2 linked regions of the Saccharomyces cerevisiae S288C genome follow. The protein of the gene in region 2 binds, or shares a complex with, the protein of the main gene of each other region. Each region holds a gene or a part of one and is shown on either strand. Other genes may lie near its edges. The genes, in order: SEC72 and SEC63. A codon is read from its position in the direction of its gene.

What was found.
Region 1: the proteins of SEC63 (region 2) and SEC72 are in contact, whole or in part, in a cryo-EM structure (PDB 7KAO), measured with the Saccharomyces cerevisiae proteins. Residues at the interface, in NP_014897.1 of Saccharomyces cerevisiae: Pro367 (codon at 1,723), His390 (codon at 1,654), Thr391 (codon at 1,651), Gly393 (codon at 1,645), Lys394 (codon at 1,642), Thr397 (codon at 1,633), Gln520 (codon at 1,264), Lys521 (codon at 1,261), Asp522 (codon at 1,258), Gly523 (codon at 1,255), Lys549 (codon at 1,177), Phe587 (codon at 1,063), Arg589 (codon at 1,057), Thr600 (codon at 1,024), Asp603 (codon at 1,015), Ile604 (codon at 1,012), Thr605 (codon at 1,009); in NP_013395.1 of Saccharomyces cerevisiae: Ile138 (codon at 1,001), Glu157 (codon at 944), Arg160 (codon at 935), Ala161 (codon at 932), Glu164 (codon at 923), Arg165 (codon at 920), Leu167 (codon at 914), Ala168 (codon at 911), Leu169 (codon at 908), Tyr190 (codon at 845), Asn191 (codon at 842), Gly192 (codon at 839).

Annotation. Positions count from the first base shown.
Region 1 is NC_001144.5:718,959-721,966, forward strand, and holds SEC72 (Sec63 complex subunit SEC72), read right to left. Parts: upstream 1,413-3,008; coding exon 831-1,412; downstream 1-830. Other genes in the region: GCD7 (translation initiation factor eIF2B subunit beta), read right to left, coding at 1-504; Ran GTPase GSP1, read right to left, coding at 1,813-2,472. UniProt on the Saccharomyces cerevisiae protein: Acts as a non-essential component of the Sec62/63 complex which is involved in SRP-independent post-translational translocation across the endoplasmic reticulum (ER) and functions together with the Sec61 complex and KAR2 in a channel-forming translocon complex.
Region 2 is NC_001147.6:804,203-808,871, forward strand, and holds SEC63 (protein-transporting protein SEC63), read right to left. Parts: upstream 2,822-4,669; coding exon 830-2,821; downstream 1-829. Other genes in the region: TMA16 (Tma16p), read left to right, coding at 1-1; peptide alpha-N-acetyltransferase subunit NAT5, read left to right, coding at 175-705; OSW1 (Osw1p), read left to right, coding at 3,069-3,905; TRE2 (putative zinc metalloprotease), read right to left, coding at 4,052-4,669. UniProt on the Saccharomyces cerevisiae protein: Acts as a component of the Sec62/63 complex which is involved in SRP-independent post-translational translocation across the endoplasmic reticulum (ER) and functions together with the Sec61 complex and KAR2 in a channel-forming translocon complex.

The sequences.
Region 1 (3,008 bases), on a different chromosome or scaffold from region 2:
AATGTTTTTTATCTCATCTATAAGATCCTTGATACCCTGAATGGCTACTTGACGGTAATCAGTCTTGGTTTTCATACTAGAGCTCCCTGAACTATTTTTTCTATTCTGATGAGGTTGCTCCGGTTTCTGTAATAAATTAAACATAGAGGAAATCAAAGGTTCAGCAACGGATGTGGATGTGACAGTTGTGCTCATAGTGTCTTCTTCTACTTCATCCCTCAAAACAGCCAGTATTCTTCTAATTACGTTACCGCAACTGAAAGCAGTAGGATGAGCTTTTTCTAGACTATTACCTAAATCTCTGATTTGTTCAATAAGGTCATTAACATGGTTCCAACGAGCTGCAGAGATAAATCGCATTAACAGTTGTAAAGTTTCCAAGGCGATGGCGTATGAACCTTGCACTTGTCTTCTTTTTAACTTAGCAACGAAAGTGTCAATGGTAACATTCACATCAGATGTTGCCGCATTCGGATGTACTGAAGTGAATGCTTGAGAGGACATCTTATGTTGGGCAAAAGTTCGAAAGTTGGCGTGTTGTGTTTACTGGTTCCGCACGAGTAATGAATGGTCTGTTTCATTTATGAAGGTTTTTTCTATGTCCATTTTTTTTTTTCAGCATCACGAAGAAAAAAAGCTTGCGGTTGGGAAGCAGAGGTATCATATACTCAAGCTGTATAGTTCAAAGCCTTTCATAAAGGCTATTCCTTAGTATATATGATAATGGGCTTGCTATGTGTTTTTGAATCTATCTAAAATTTCTTGCTATGTAGTCGTGTGTAGCATAGAGACATATCAAGAAAAGGCTAAAATATCTTCGGTTATGCACCTTATTCACCGTTATATTCGGCCAGATTTCTTGCAGTTTCTATTAAAAGGGCTCTAAGTTTCATATCCTCTGGGGCTAAAGCTAAACCTCTCTCGCATGTTGCCCTAGCCTCTTCCCACTGTCTCAATTTTAGCAAACAGTCCGCCTTCCTGACAAATACGTCTGGTTGGATAAGTCCCGTACCAAGTAAGAAATCCAAGTCTTGCAACGCCTCTAAATGCTTTCCGAGTATTAAACATAAATCTATTTTACTACGAAGCATAAAGTGTAGCTCTGGTAGCTGAATAGCAAAAGCTTCCCAAGGCGCTCTTTTTCTTTGTGCCATTTCGATTGCTAAAGAAACATTCTTCAATGCCTCATTCAATTTTTTTTGTTGTAAATTCTTCATACCACTTTCAAATAAACCCTTGATCATTTTGCTTAGAGCTTCATTCGGTTGTGGTGTAAAATTTGGGTTGGTTTCTCCAATCAAAGATGTAGTGAGAACATTTATTTGATCGATATTAGTTTCGGTAGATAGTGCAACAACAGCATCACTCGCAGTGATCAGTTTACTGTTTGCATTGTATTCAAGGGTAACCATGGTTGAATAAGCTTGCTTTGGTATGCCTTTAACGCAAGTTGAAGGAGACGTTTCTTTGATTTTAAGGCTATTGGTTTTATGTTCAAAGATATAATCTAATTGTTACGTGTGCTCCTACATCCGTTTGAAACGATCCATAAACGATCTAAAAAATATAATATTAGACAAGCCAAATACGTTTAAATATACTTAAATCACAGCATATTCACATTCAACTATTTGTTATATATTTAAATCTGTTTTATAAAAGACAGGAGTACCAGTTAGTTTGTGTTTTCTTGTTGCAATTATAAAATCTTCAAAATCATGTGGATTTTTATTGAATTTCTATATCGAGATGAATGTAAATATGTATACAGTTTAGGGTAGGGAAAAAAGAAAGCTTGTTCTCGTTTGTCCCTTATAAATCAGCATCATCTTCATCAGGCAATGGCAAAGCAGTAGCTTGTTCCATTTCTTGTTGGTATTGTTGCATCAATTGTTCATCGACTTGGACTTCTGGTGGGGCTAAAGCTGGAGAAGCAACAAATTCTAATTGTGGGTTACCAGCCAATTTTCTGGCCAACCATAAGAAAGGCTTTTCAAAGTTGTAGTTGGACTTGGCAGAAATATCGTAGTATTGCAAGTTTTTCTTTCTGTGGAAAGTGATAGTCTTGGCCTTGACCTTTCTTTCTTTGACATCGACCTTGTTACCACACAAGACAATTGGGATGTTTTCACAAACACGGACTAAATCCCTGTGCCAGTTTGGAACGTTCTTGTAAGTAATTCTGGAAGTAACATCGAACATGATGATGGCACATTGGGCGTTAATGTAGTAACCGTCTCTTAAACCACCGAATTTTTCTTGGCCGGCAGTATCCCAGACATCAAATTTAATTTCACCGAAGTTGGTGTAAAAGGATAAAGGATGCACTTCGACACCAATGGTGGCGATGTACTTCTTTTCGAATTCACCGGTCAAATGTCTCTTGACAAAAGTGGTCTTACCAGTACCACCATCACCGACAAGAACTAGTTTGAATGTTGGAACTTCACCGTTAGCAGCTGGGGCAGACATTTATAATATAAATGAGTTTATTTGATTTTCCTTTTGTACTGGACTAAAAATCGATTGAGGGAAAAATGTTGAAGGAGCAGTTCTTCCTGTTTAAAAACGAAACAAACTTAAAAGGTGAGGAAAAGTTGATCATACAGTTCAAATTTTTCAAAATCTTCGCCAAAGAAAAAAGAAACGAAAATTTTTTTTCTATCTCGGTGGGATGAGCTTTCGTCCAGAGCGATATTATCCTAAGGTGACGAACCACGCATGTCCTTCATAAACGGATCATTATTTATTTACCAAAGAAGCGTAGGTCATACTTAGAAAGTAATAGTTATTGAAATAAAAGAATAGTAGTAATAGGAAAGATAAAGACGTGTCTATGTACAATTGTATTTTTTGTTTAAAAAATAAATTCTGCATTTTGTGTGGCTGATTACAAAGAGTGCGTAGTGTATTTTGCTTTTTCTTTATTGTACTGGATTCGAATATAAAAAGATGAGAGGAAGAAAGCCAAAAATAATGATCTTGTTCAGCTTGTGGTTCTGTTTGTT
Region 2 (4,669 bases):
AGAAGTGTCGCAGAGGAATCTTTATGGTTTATATGCTCTTTATATAATTTTATGTATATTATAGTAGAAAAAGCAAAGAAAAAAAAGAAAATTGATATTATTAGCGAAGCTTTTTCACAAATTAATCCGTAACAAACAAATTGGCAAAGACAATTGAAGGGAGTAGTGCGAAATATGGGCCGTGATATATGCACATTAGACAATGTTTACGCTAACAATTTGGGCATGCTAACCAAACTAGCTCATGTGACAGTACCAAACTTATATCAAGATGCCTTCTTCAGTGCATTATTCGCTGAGGATAGCTTAGTTGCAAAAAATAAAAAGCCATCTTCGAAGAAGGATGTACATTTCACACAGATGGCTTATTACAGTGAAATACCAGTGGGTGGTTTGGTTGCTAAATTAGTTCCTAAAAAACAAAACGAACTATCTCTCAAGGGCATTCAAATCGAATTTTTGGGCGTGTTGCCTAATTATAGGCACAAATCCATCGGTTCAAAATTACTGAAGTTTGCAGAAGACAAATGCTCAGAATGTCATCAACATAACGTGTTTGTCTATTTACCAGCAGTGGATGATCTTACAAAGCAATGGTTTATAGCTCATGGCTTCGAACAAGTGGGCGAAACTGTCAACAATTTCATAAAAGGTGTAAATGGCGACGAACAAGATGCTATCTTATTGAAAAAACACATTTCTTAACAGATGGCTGAAAAATTTTTTTTTTTTTTTTGGTTTTGCTTTGTATACACATGTATCTATTTTTATAAAGATGAAATATATACGTCTAAGAGCTAAAATGAAAAACTATACTAATCACTTATATCTATTCTGGTGATTCATCATCTTCAGCTTCTGTATCCGTATCGATATCAGTATAATCGCTAGCATCACTTTCATCATCACTTTCGGTTTCGTCGTCATCAGTAGAGTACTCATCATCCTCCTCAGAATACACCTCTACTTGTTCCACTGCAGGAGAATCACGAACTTTCATATTCATGGTAATATCCAAATCTGTAGTGAAATAATCTGTGGATTTAACGATTACTCTAAAAAAGAAATCACCAACAGTTTCAGGTGCAGGCTGACCTAATGGAATTTTTATGGTCCCGATTTCCCAATCATTTATATCGAATTTTTCGTGTTTGGTTAAATCCATTTTTATCCTCTTATCAAAGAAATCTTTGTCATCGTTCAAGTTCTTGTAAGATAGCTTTTCAATGATAATTGGCGTTTGAAGTATTTTACCATCTTTTTGAGAACTTACCAGACAGCACCAACTCCCACGTCTCTTTGTAGGGAAAAATGGTGCAAAGGAATATGGGACGAGTGGCTGTTTACTCATCATAGCAAATGGATCTCTTTGAGATTCAAAATCTTGAGGTTCTGTTAAATTTTCTTCAGGAATTAAGCTAGTTGGTATCAATGGCTGTTTAGCAGAACGAACCAGTACTTTCAAAGAAATGTATGGGGTAGATGATGGTGTTACTTGGTTCTCACCTGGGACAAGGAAGTCTGCCTTGATGATCTTTAGATTTGGAATATGCGATGCAACTCTCAAAGTTTCGTTTAACTTTGCTTGATCCTTTATTCCAAGAACCTCACCAATCTTGGCATCTTCTAAAGTAAACAATTTACCTAATGTATGAATATCTCCGGTTTTGGTAATAAAGTGCTCTTTATCTACGTTCGGCAATTGAAGGATTTGACAGTTTGGTGTTAATGGTACAGCCTGAACAATACACTTGAAAGTATTGATTGCACCCAATGCAATATCTAAATTTCTGAATCCACAAGCAATATCCAATAAACCGTGTAACAAAGAGTGACATTTGGCCACTATTCTAAATTTCGCATTGTTAAGTTTACCACTATCTCTGCGGTTAATATGATCTTGCAAAAGTTTTTCAAAATCCGTTGGTTGCAAATCCGGGAAGAATTGTTTAAATTCATGAGCAAATGATAACCAGTGTAAGATCAAATCTGTGGTGACAATCTCAGATGGCTTGTAATTGACTAAGTTACTAACAAAATTAGAAGCCGTCACATTATGTATTCCCTTCTTAGTATACGATTGTGTTCTTGCCCACCATCTACTAACAAAATATGGCAAGATTAAACCTAGTAGCGCAACATAACAAACCACTAATAATGGAGATGCACTTCCATCTACCAAAAATCTTGGTAGAGCGATACCATGTGAAGTAGATTGTGGGCCATCTGGATGACCGTATTTCAAATAGTTTTGCCTAACCAATTCGTCAGTAAGGGATTCGTAAGCCTTCGTAATCTGAACATAAGTTTCTTCCATCACACTTTTCTCATCAGGTGTTAGGCCCTTTGCTAATTTATCTGGATGAAATTTAACAGATAATTTTCTATAAGCAGATTTGATGTCTCTATCGGAAGCACTAGTAGAGATACCAAGGATTTCATAAGGATCAAATAATTTTGTAGCAGCGTCTTTAATCGCGTCATTACTATTAATCCTTTGCAGAAGAATTGCAACTAAGATCCAACCCACAATAATTATAATATTTCTCCTGCTCCATATTTTGGACTTCTTATTACTATTTTTATCAAACTTCCTTCTAAATTGTTTGATTTCATCACTGGTGTATTCTTCATTCAAGTTCTTGAAAACTTCCTCATTAAACTCCTTACTCTTCCCTGAATTCCCATCTTCAGCATTGGCCCCAAAAAAAATTTGGTATATTTGAAGCAGTGTCATAGGCCCGACGACCATCAAGAGCCCCGTTAAAATGAAGGACGGCCACGTCTCACTAGCCTCATCATACTCGTAATTTGTAGGCATTGTGCTGTAATATGCAGTATATTTATTTTGTTGCGAAGGCCTTCTTTGGTCAATTATAACTGACTATTGTTCCAGTCGCATCTTTTATTCGTTCAGTGATCTTCGACGTGTTCAAGACAAATTTTTCAGAAAACGCCTTTCCGTAACGAGTGACCAATTCGCGTTATAAGAGCGATTGTGTCAGTAATGAAGTCAGATTGTGACATTATAAAGCTAAGACGTTAATAACTCAAAATAGAAAAGAAGCATGAGAGCACCACCTTCACCGAGAAAGTCCAAATCTGGTCATTTTTTTTACCTATATTTTCGACTGTGTCAACTGTTCAGTGGCCGGAAATTAAAGAGGAGGTGGCATGTCCACAAACTTCACATTCACCAATATAATACTCGCTGGAACTTGAGCCCCCTCTCCGAAATACACATTGAGGACATGATAAATGAACCGTCTGGACTATGTCCAGGAAGTTCCAAAAAGAAACCACTACTGATTGCAAGGTTTCCCAAGGGTTGCCAAGAATCACCAAGGGTATATGTACTGCAAAGGAACAATTTGTCTCGTTTAAAATTAAGCAAAAGAAAATATGCCCTAAGGTTCTATCACAATGAAATTTTTGGCAATAATTTAAAGAGAAAAGACGGAAGCATCCACAAAGTTGAACACCAACAGTGCGCAGAAACCGTTAGAAAGATCAAGAAAGTCACAGCAAACCATGCTGATGTTAAAATAATATTTCACGATAAAAATACTATAAGAAGTGACAAATTAGGGGGTAGGAGTAATAAGATGCAGACTAGGCCTAGTGTTCTTGAAGAGGATGTAGAAGAAGAAGTCTCTTCGGTATATATCAGATTTTGTGACGACCATTCCCTGAGAGTTAAAGATTATCACTCTTTGCACAGGCATTCTAAAAAATCTTCTAAAGAAAAACGAAATAATCAGGAGATTGGAAAATCTAAGTTGCTTGGGAAGCTTTTTGAAGAGGAAACATCGCGTCAAAACAAAGGTGTAGAGAAGAAACTAGATACGATTGTGATACAGAAATTTCAAAATTATCCTATTGTCTCCTTCTCTCGTGTCATTTAACAAAAAGATATATACAAACATAGGATACTAAGAGGAAAAGCATCCCAAAAAGAAGAAATGCTTGCATGCCATGTATTACATAATTAAAGAAAAAATTTTATTAACATACTTCCTTATACTTACAATATGTATTCTTTCAGTTCAATTTATTTATACCCGATGTCATTAGTCTCTTCGACAAACAATGCAGCAGACTGATGGAGTACTTTGCCAATAAGGTCAATTTGTTCTTGAGCCCTCTTCCAGTCATCATCGTAAATCGCATCCATCACTCCTGGAAATGTCCAGAAATCTACATTTCCACCATTTTTAGATTTATCCTCCTGTATCAATGTTGGTCCGAACAAAACGTTCTTATAAAATGATCTATTAGGTAGACCCGCCGGAGAGCATGTTCTTCTACCAATATTAGTCAATTTTTTATTCCATGTCCACCTATTAATTGAAAGTAAGGAGGGCTCTATACCATCCCCATGCGACCATACTATGTTCTCCCAACCTTGAGTCCATGACGCCCATTCGCTACCGATTTTCTTCCAAAATAACAAACCTTTGATTATTGATGTGAAGTTTAGTTTTTCAGGGTATGCTTGCTCTAACCTTTGCAATCTTTCATCGATATCTTCAACATAGCTTATTATGTCAAAATGAAGTAGCGGGTCATCAATCAATTCCATACTAATATGTAAAAGATATACTAGCAAATCCTTGACAGATTGTTGGTTCTGTTCGTCTTCCAGAATCTTCTCAACACGTTCAAATTT